2 separate regions of the Mus musculus genome follow, and region 2 is reported to be linked to region 1. The links are microRNA targets in miRTarBase. Many come from high-throughput screens and were not tested one by one. Region 1 holds a microRNA gene; the other region holds the end of a gene's coding sequence.
Evidence for each region. Region 1 holds the annotated microRNA mmu-miR-367-3p (AAUUGCACUUUAGCAAUGGUGA, at 3,007-3,028, shown strand). A microRNA usually pairs through its seed, bases 2 to 8, with sites in the 3' UTR of a target mRNA and lowers its output. Matches are read on the target gene's strand: a 7mer-m8 pairs with bases 2 to 8, a 7mer-A1 pairs with bases 2 to 7 and ends in A, and an 8mer does both.

Region 1 (5,000 bases):
TCACCATATCATTCTCCACTGAACTACACAGCCACTAACCATTAGTGAAACAAGAAAGAAAGGTGTACAGGCTATTCGATGTACTTAGGCCTTATTTCCTGAGGAATAAGGTATTTAGGTATTTAGAGTAAACTTAAGAGTTATCAGTGTTACCATGGACTCTACAAGTAGTTTATCAGAAAGGTACAAATTCTGACTGGAGTTGCTTTGTTTTCCATACTATTTTGAAAACATTTCACATGGGGTTCATAAATATTACCTTGACTTGTTTCCTGCCCGGTAGAGGCTCTCCGCTCACAATCTTCACAATCACTCCAGTCACAAACTGTGGGCCTTGTGCACTGACCTTCTCCTGGGTGGAACACTCTTGACCACTGCCTGCTGCTGTGAAGAGGAAGGAGCCAGAGGTAACCTTCCCACTCCTGACATTTCACATGAGGAGCACTATTCTACAACAGCAGCAGCAGCAGCAGCAGCGACTTCTCAGGCTAGTTTAAGGATCTCAGAATTGTAAATAATATTAAGGAATCACACTGCCCATTGGAATCAACATGGCACAAAAGGCATTATACCTCTAAACCAAAGAATAAAGCCTTAATAAAGATGTATGCCTATATGAACATAAGACTATTCAAAGTATTCTATTCTTTTTTTTTTTTTTTTTTGGTTTTTCGGGACAGGGTTTCTCTGTATAGCCCTGGCTGTCCTGGAACTCACTTTGTAGACCAGGCTGGCCTTGAACTCAGAAATCCGCCTGCCTCTGTCTCCCCAGTGCTGGGATCAAAGGCATGAGCCACCACTGCCTGGCTTCAACAATTTCATTTTTTAAAAAATTTGTTTATTTATTTTATTTATGAGGACGCTGCAGCTGTCTTCAGACACTCCAGGATAGGGTATCAGATCCCACCATGTGGTTGCTAGGACTTGAACTCAGGACCTCTGGAAGAGCAGTCAGTGTGCTTAACCACTGAGCCATTTCTCCAGCCACAAAGTATACTGTTCAAATATGAGAATTTGTATAATTTGCAAGAACTTAAAACCTTTACTAATATTACAATGAACGAGAGTAGTGCTCTAATATGCTCCTGCTTGCTGAACATCATCCACTAAGCCTGCAGTCTTTATTTCTCTCTCCAGGCACTCACAAGTGAGCTCGCAGGTAAGTAGAGAAGAATAAACAGACTATTAAAACCTAGTGTGTAATACAAAACTTCACATTTTTACTTTTCTTAAAACATTTTGTTTTTGGAAATGGTTCAGCTTAAAACTGAGGAAGCCACTCTATCACTGCAATAAAACTGCCCCTGAAACCATTCATAGACTAAAGCCCACTCTTCCATTACATGAGCGTCACCCTCTCCGTTCCCCACTGCACACTTACTAGGCGCTTTACAGTCTGTTTCCATTTCTGATTCCAATTTGATTTGAGATATTGTTTTTTTTAGAGAAGCCATGCTAGCTTTTTGCAGTGCCAAATACTCTTTCTTCAAATCCATCCATTCAGTCCTGAAAAACAAAAATTGAGCCATTACAGTGATAAGACGACCCAACTAGAAATCTGAAGTTGATCTAAACACAATGTTCATAGGAACTGCAAGTCTTTCTGACTTTTCTTTCTTTTAAGGCATATGTTTACATTATTTGTTAAGCCATTTGTTAAAGCTACCTAGCAAACACACAAAGGAAGTTTCTTTGTCTTAACAGGCAAGGAAAATGCTTGAGTTTCCTGGTTGCTTCTAATATTTAATTGTAAAATCACTTTTGAGTCACTTCTATTAAGTAAAATCACTAAATCAGGCAACCTGGAGAAAAAGTAAGAGACTAAAACTTAAAGATTTCTCAAATTGCTTCCAATTTGAGAGCTAACATTCCTTAGGATTTACTTGAATCAAAAGGAATTTCTAAGAAGAAAAAAACACCCCATGGAAGCAATTTATTTATTTACATACATTTAACATGTAGATGTATCTTCAAACAGCTAGGGCTCCTCCAGAGAAGCACAATGCATCTCCTGGCTCTGTGGGAGCGCTCATTGTTACCCTAATCTGTGCCATCAAACGGGCAGATAGGAGATTTTTTTTAAAGAGGAGGATATCTTGTGGTAATGGTTTTAGCAGTTAACATTGACATCTGTTTACTTCAAAAAAGGAAAAAAAAAAAAAAAATCCAGACCTACCCAGGTCCCCAGGACCTACTTTCCCCAGAGCTGATACATTAAAATAACAAAGGGTCTTGTAATGATTCTCAGAGATAGAAAGCCAAAAGGAACTCAGGAGTTAGGAGTAGTATAAATACAAGTGGTCTAAAGTCGGCGTCTTTCACCCTCCGAGGACAGAACAGGACTCTTTGGGAGGCGGTCACGAAGGTAAAGGAGGTAAAGCTTATGTCTGTAACCGGGTCACTTTACTTTCCTGTGGGTTTGCTCTTCTGTTTTAACTAGTTGCCTTGTGGGTGGGTTCCCTTCAACTTTAACATGGGAATGCTTTCTGTCTCATCGAAGAGTAAGTGCTTCCATGTTTTAGTAGAAGTGAATTCAAGAAACTCTGGAATAAGAAAGCTAGCCTTTTAATTCAGAGTCTGATGGGAGTCCCCTCTGCTTTAACATGGGGTTACCTGCTGTGTTAAACAAAAGCAAGTGCTTCCATGTTTCAGTGGGGGTGTCTTAAACTGTTCAACATTTTCTCTAAGATGCTGTAGGTTAAGGGAGTTATTGACTGGGCTTCCCACCACTTAAACGTGGTTGTACTTGCTTTAGACCTAAGAAAGTAAGTGCTTCCATGTTTTGGTGATGGTATGTTTTCCTTTATATTCATGCCTTTGTAAAGACCACTCAAGTCTGCTTAAGGGGCCTCCTTTACTTTAACATGGAGGCACTTGCTGTGCATTTAAAAATAAGTGCTTCCATGTTTGAGTGTGGTGGCTCCTACTTAATCTTCATTGTGCTGCATATAGATAGACCAAGGCCGTCACTGTTGCTAACATGCAACTCTGTTGAATAGAAATTGGAATTGCACTTTAGCAATGGTGATGGACCTGTGTCAGTGGCCACTTACTTGGACAGCACTCTCAATGGTATAACCTCCTCGCCCATCTTATGTCTCTCCTTGTGTTTCTTCTTATGCTTCCTCTTCACCTTTGAGAGTGAGTCACCTTTTCTGTCTGTCTCCTTCTCCTCCTCAGTAGAGCAGAATTCTAAGTCTAGAAAAAAGATTTCCGTAAGTCCGTTGTTGTGGTTAAACTGGTTAAAACATTTGTAACCCTACTGCCACGGTACCTCTGCTCTCCTTGGAGACCTCGGAAGCTGCTTGGCCGACGCCATCCTTCTGAGCCCTTTTCTTAGCTTTTGGCCTTGGGGGGAGGCAGTCTTCGTCCTCGGCGCTGCACCTCTCCCTCTTCCCTGCCCTGGCTTCAGGTAAGCTGGATGCTTCCACCTTGTCCCGCTTCTTCTTTTTCTTTGCAGGTTGCTTTGGAGCTTCCGGGGTTTCTGCTTCGGAGCCCTCAGAGGCCGTCCTTGGTCTCTTCGTGGCTTTACACACGCCCGAGCTGCTGCTGTCCACGGCCGACTCTTTGGCCTGCACACTCTCTTCCTTCTTTATTCTGCCTTTTTTCTTTTTCTTCTTTTTCTTCTCTTCTGTAACAAGATTTTATTATTTACAGTCATAATAGTTTATTGTTTACTTGGCCACTCTAAGTAAGCACTCACCTGCTACTCGTAAGGAAGGGATGGGCTTGTTTTTCACTGTCTTGGGAAATATACCAGGCTTTCTAGGTGCTTCTTCTGGTGGGTTGTTCAGAAACTGAAAAGATTGATTGCAGAATTTGTTACTCTTGTTAACCCTGTGCTTTTTCTTTACTTTTCAGGGTCCCACAGAAGTACGTACCTCAATGGCTTTTGCTGCTTGCTCTTTTGTTTCAAATTCCACAAAGGCAAATCCCTTAGGATCCCCAGTAGACTTGTAATGTGGAATACTTATGTAAACCACATTGCCACATTTCCCAAATACTCTCTCAATCCAGCTATGAGTAACATTTTTGGGGAGCAACTCCTGTAATAAATCATGGTATGAACATTTTAAAGTTCCTACATTTTTACCAATAAATGAATTATAAATAAATGAACTAGAATTAAAATTTGTGTCATTTCTTACCACATATACCGTGCGTTCCTCCTCGTCCTTTGGTCTCTCACCTAGGGGTTTTTTCCTCCTGATTCTGGTCCCTTCTAAGTCCAACTTTATGAGGGGGGAAAAAAAAAGGAAAGCTAAATAAAGTCAGTAGTTAATTGGATGTGGGTGACTTGAAATGTAAGTTTTTTACCTCTACAACAGATGAGCTTTTCAATGCTCTGGCTATTAGCTTCCCATCAGTTGTCAGCTTCTTCATTTTGTTAAAAGACACCAGGAGAGAAATGTCCACATCTAGTAAATAGGATAGTGGGATGTTAAACACTGGAATATATACATGTGTGCAAACAAGCACGAGTTCAACATGCAGTTGTGTGTCATGAACATATACAGTACTGAGCTCTCAGGAGGCTCTGGCCCCATATAAATGTGAGTTGGAAATTCCAACAAAGACAAAAAACTTACATCCATCTCTAGACTTTTCAATTTGCTCTCGCAGAAACTTGTCCTTGTGAAGGTTTGCATCTCCAAACCAGAAGTCCACCTGCTTAGCAATATCTGCAAGCACCTGTTTAACCCGGGAGCGCTTCTTTTTTTCTTCTTTTCTCTTAGTGCTTTCTTCCATAGTTTTTTGGTTTTCAGTTTCCATTCTGAGAGGGGAAAAAACAAAAATGCCAAACTGTAAAGTGCCTAAATGCCCCTGTCACCTGAACCTTCCTGCTGCAGGAATTCCTGCTGCAGGACGCCATCTCACTGACATCAGTAAGGATGTTTTTAAAGCTGGTCTGTCAGGCAAGTGCAAATTCTGTAGTAAATTCAAGTAGTAAAACCTCTACCTCAAAAGATGGCCTAGTCAGCCACCACTGGAAAGAGAGG
Region 2 (5,088 bases), not on the chromosome of region 1:
TGGTTGAGGGGATGCCATGCACACACAAGGCCCAGAGTTGAAATCACCAGAAACCATTGTCTCTTGGGTGTGGCAGCCCACCTGTAAATCTAGCCCTAGAAGACAGAGACAGAATCTCTACAGCTGGCCGGCAAGCAAGTCTAGCTGATTGGTTGAGAGCCCTGCCTCTGTGAATATCTGGGAGAGCAAGGGAGGATGGTTCCTAACATGTACCTCAGGCCTCCACATCCACAAATAAACGTCTAAAAATCCACAGCCCCCACACACATGAAAGATGAAAGAGTGGGAAAGGAATTGAGGTATTTATAAGCCCAACAGTAGTCATTTGATTGCTGCCAGCATCTTGTATAAAGCTCATTTTTTCCATTCCTCTGCTCAGTGCTTAGTCTGAGCCTTCCCAGTGGCACCTTCTGTTTGAACCAAGAGAGTGTTAGACTTAGTACTGGCAGAGACGATCTGTATCGAGCCTGTAGCCCAAGGCCTGGCATGGGACCAATACTCAGACAACAGAAGCCAGCCTCTCAGCCTTCTCTCTCTTCTCATCACAGGACCGCCTGGCCCGCTGCACCATGCATTGCAATGACAAAGCCAAAGACTCAATGGATGCAGGAACTAAGGAGCTTCAGGTGAAGCGACAGCTAGACAGCTGTGTGACCAAGTGTGTGGATGACCACATGCACCTCATCCCAACAATGACCAAGAAGATGAAGGAGTCTCTGTCATCCATAGGGAAATAAAATTGTTTGCCAGTGACCATCGGGACTGCGGGCAGGCTATTTAAAAGGAAGAATGGAAGTTTAATATGTTAAGCAACGTTTACGAATGAGGAAAACTTAGACACAGCAAGTTCCAGGCAAATGCTGCTCACTGCTGGACACTAGTCCCTTTACATTCGGATCTTAGAAGGTGAAGTAGGAAGAAGCTGGTGCTAAGATTTGGATCACAGATAGCTCAGAGGAGAAGTCTAGATCCTAAATATTCATATGCAAGTGTCTGTACTGTAGTAGAGATCAACCTTGTACCAAGAGCTGAGCTTCTTACTACAAACATCCAGGCTGGCAGCTCTCTTCAACCTGCTGGTAAAATCTGAGGATCGGTGCATCTCCTCAGAGAAGCTTGACAAATCCTGTTGACCAGAAGTATCATCACACCACCTTGCATATGCTGGGAAACAAAACCCAGTAGGCTAGGAATTCAGAGGAAAGGATTTCCTTTTCAAATCTATATTTTGCTTAGTTTTGTCTTATATGCAGGGCACACTGGATTTATGATACAGGAGGGAAAGTGGTTTGAGTCACTTCTAAAGGTTCCTAGTATTATGTACCGTCAAGATGGGAATGTCCATTTCTTCAAATTCTGTTACTCTAGAAGCCCCTGAAGAATCCGGACAGTGTCACACAGTGAACATGGGAAACAGCCTTCTTTACTGACTTGTGCAGCAAAGTGACACATCCTTATGAAAAGCAAGGGGGTAGGCTGTCACTCACATGCCAGTCGCTAAGAATAAGCAGTAACTAGGAATTATTGAGAAGTGCAAACCCAGTATTAATCAGCTCTGAATCTACAGAGCCTTATAGCAACAAGAAAGCCAGAAACTGAGCAACTTGGGCCACAGATGGGTAGGACCACTGTAGAACAAGAGAGGCACACACTTTCTTGCCAAATGCCATTTTTGCCTGGGTGGTTTTTATTTTTTATTTTCTTTGCAGTGCAGTGTTGCTGGCCCAACATAGCACCTTATCTTTTGGATAAGTACTATGTTGTATTTATACCAATTAATTACTTGAAACAGTGATACATCTGTCTTTTTGCTGTGTCAAGCCTGCAATATATTTTCCAAGTGGTTTGGTTTTTAAATAAAGTTTCATTGTCTCCACCTTTTTCTTATGGGTAGTGATATATCAGTAAATGGGAAACACCAAGAGGAAGGCAGAGAGCATCATAACTTGAAAGCTGTTAATGTTGAAAAGATAACTTAGGATTAAAGGTACATGGGGGGGGGGGCTGAAAAGATGGCTCAGCAGTTAAGAAAACTCTTCCGAAGGTCCTGAGTTCAAATCCCAGCAACCACATGGTGGCTCACAACCATCCTAATGAGATCTGGCGCCCTCTTCTGGAGTGTCTGAAGACAGCTACAGTGTACTTACATATTATAACTAAATTGTAAAAGGTGCATACTGTAATTTCAGTACTGTAAGGCAAGCTGAGGATTTCCCTCCTGCTTTGAGGTCAGTCTTTGCTAAAGACTATCATTATTCATGTTCGTTTTCTAGTTTCAACTAGCACAGCAAGTGGTGGGGAGAGTGTATAGCTAAGCATTCTTGTGCTATTTTTTTGTTGATGACAAACTAATCATGAGGAGAACCTCAATTGAAGAGCTGCTTCCATCTAACAGGTCTCTGGACATGTCTGTGGGTCATTAATGACTACCATGAGAGAGCCCAGTGCACTGAGGGCAGTGCCACCACCCTGGGAGAGTGCACACCTTTATTCCCAGCCCTCAGGAGGCAGGGGCAAGCTCAATACCTCAGGACTTGTGTGGTACTCCTCAGCTTTTATGTATGGACTGTAGTGTGCTAAGTGGGTTCTGAAGGCAGCGTTAGAATTGCAGAATTGATGAATCAGAAATACCCCAGACACTGGATTCACGTCCTCAAGAGAATCCGCCTAGCCACCTTCCTGCTACTGATGCGGACAAGCTATTCTGTGCTTCAGGAGCCCTCGGCTTCGCCTGGATGTGCTTAGGAAATTAAGGGCAGCGTGGTGCAGATGCCGTTGATTCTAGCACGGGAAGCAACAGTTCAAAGCCAGCGTTGACTACACAGTGAACTCGAAGCCAGCATGAATTACGTCAAAAACAATGAGGAAGGGGCAGGGGAAATGACAAAAATGTAAAGAGAAAAAAAGTGTAGTAAGTGGGAAAAGGAAAGAAAAGAAGTGACACACAGGCTGGAGAGACGCTTCAGCAGTTAAAACCACTGGCTGTTCTCCCAGAGCTCTGGAGTTCAATTCCAGCACCCACATGGTGGCTCACAAGCATCTATAGTAGGATCTGAGGTCCTCCCCTGGCGCGCAGGTGTACATGTAGAGCACTCATACATAAAATATAAATGAAGGGGTCTGTTTTTAAAGTGACCTGCCACTTCAATTTTACACAAAGGAAGCTTAGCCGAACACAGCCTCTCCGTCGTGGCCTGTCACTGGCGACGCAACCGGAAGCGTGGCTCTGGTCCGCAGGTTCAGACATCCCCATCAATATCGCGAGATGAAAGGTAATGTTCTCCGAAGGCGATTGGCTCGCGCGGCGGTGACGTCAGACACCAGCGCCAAGCCTGCCTTGCGCGCGTTTCTGAGCCTGCTCACTCCTTCGCCGTTGTGCCGAGCCCGCAGAGGAGTCGCCATGAGCAAAGCCCACCCTCCCGAGCTGAAGAAGTGAGTAGAGTCGGCCCTATCGAGACTTCTGTCTCGCTCGGGCTGCCGCCGCTGGTCCCGACGGTCGCGGGAGCCGGAAGTGGCGCTAAGGTCCGGTCGGCATGGTTACTGCAGTGCCGGTGCCTCTGTCTTCCCAAAGCTGGGGCTCTCCTAGGCGGGCAGCCAAAGGCAACCTGGTTGGGGACCAGGGCAGCGGTCGAGGTGCATGGTTGTGAGGAACCGGAGACTCGTGGGCTTAAAATGATCGATTGGAGTCGGACGTGATTGGCTGTGATCTATGGGGCCAATATTCAGGAAGCTTAGGCAGGAGAATTACCGCGAGTTCCAGACCAGCCTAGGCTTAAAAAAAAAAAAGACACTGTGTCTCAAAAAGTTTAAGGTGAGGTAGCGTTTTGTGTTTCAATAAATGTGCGCGTTCATTTGCGTTCATCAAGAGAGCTAGGTTTAGTTTTGGGGTTTTTTTTTCCCCTTTTTGGTGCTCAGAGACATGTTTAGTTATATGTTTGTGCACGTGGGTGCAGCTCCTGCGGAGGCCAAAGCGGGCATTGGATCTGCAGAAACAGAACTTGTAGGAGGTTGTGAGCCCTCTGGCGTGGTTAATAATAGCTGGACTCGTGTCCTCTGGACAAGCAATAAGCGCTGGGCCATCTGCAGCCCCAAGAACTAGGTTTCTGATACACTGTCCTTGTATTCAAGTTACATTTAAACGTTGTGTAATATCTTGCTCTGGCAATAAATCCATGGAAGGACATCCATTTTCTACTTGTAAAGAGCTAATTTCTGAAGAATTTTATTCTGTACCCAGTAAAATCAGACAGACCCTTTGGTCTCAGACACTTCTGACTGGCCTGAACCTGTCGCATATGCACATAGTCATTGGGTTGCTCAATACAAGATTAATACTGGGTCTTTTCTGGTGTAGCCAGAAAATAATCTGTCTTGTGTATAGCCTGTTTGCTACTGTAAAGTTCTGTCAAGACCCCAATGCAGGGGAAAGATAACAACATTTGCTGATTTTTGTATTTGAGTGCACATTTTAATCAAAGCCCTCTGTGTGAAACCCCTGCAGTTTTGTTTGAATCTGAATCTGTTAAACCGGGCCTAGAGAGTTGGCTCAGAGGTTGAGAGCACTGACTTCTCTTCCTAGAGGTCCTGAGTTCAATTCCCAGCAACCACATGGTGACTCACAACCATCTGTAATAGGATCTGGTACCCTATTCTGGCTTGCAGGCCTATAGGCAGAACACAACATAATAAAGATGTATTAAGCCATAAGTCTGACATTTTAAAAAGAAGTTATTCTGCACTGTTTGTTTTGATGATGAGCTAATAAATGAGGTCTGGATTTAGCAGGAATTGGCAAAATGGCATTGGTTTTGAACAAAAGCACTGTTCCCTACCTGTAATCTTCAGTGTCCTCTGATTCTTAACAGATATACTTGGGCCTTTCAGAGACTGGAACTAGTGATTGTGTCCATATTTTTATTGGCGTGTTTGGAGCAGAGCCTGTGTGAGCTACTTTGTCACTGAACTTCTCTTCTCTGAGTTGATGCCTTTTTCTCATCCCTACATTTTATCAAATTTGAAATACTTTTAGATCCGCCTCCTTATTTTCTCATAAACACCTCCTTTTACAGCTATTCACTCCTAGTTTAG

Region 2: the mRNA of Fam136a is a reported target of mmu-miR-367-3p. Seed matches in the 3' UTR shown: 7mer-A1 at 1,824-1,830.

Annotation. Positions count from the first base shown.
Region 1 is chr3:127,542,773-127,547,772 of GRCm38, forward strand. It overlaps Mir367 (microRNA 367), which reads left to right and starts at 2,961; the gene lies at 2,961-3,035. It overlaps Larp7 (La ribonucleoprotein domain family, member 7), which reads right to left. Exons shown (of 13, transcript NM_138593.2): 2 at 4,590-4,774; 3 at 4,318-4,418; 4 at 4,149-4,232; 5 at 3,882-4,046; 6 at 3,704-3,797; 7 at 3,275-3,631; 8 at 3,054-3,198; 9 at 1,382-1,506; 10 at 260-384. The coding sequence starts at 4,773. It overlaps Gm51018 (predicted gene, 51018), which reads left to right and starts at 2,317. Exons shown (of 2, transcript NR_146435.1): 1 at 2,317-2,374; 2 at 3,862-4,131. It overlaps Mir302b (microRNA 302b), which reads left to right and starts at 2,456; the gene lies at 2,456-2,529. It also overlaps Mir302c, Mir302a and Mir302d.
Region 2 is chr6:86,368,183-86,373,270 of GRCm38, forward strand. It overlaps Fam136a (family with sequence similarity 136, member A), which reads left to right. Exons shown (of 3, transcript NM_025591.3): 3 at 549-1,876. The coding sequence ends at 737. Snrpg (small nuclear ribonucleoprotein polypeptide G) reads left to right here and starts at 3,358. Exons shown (of 4, transcript NM_026506.2): 1 at 3,358-3,432. The coding sequence starts at 3,401.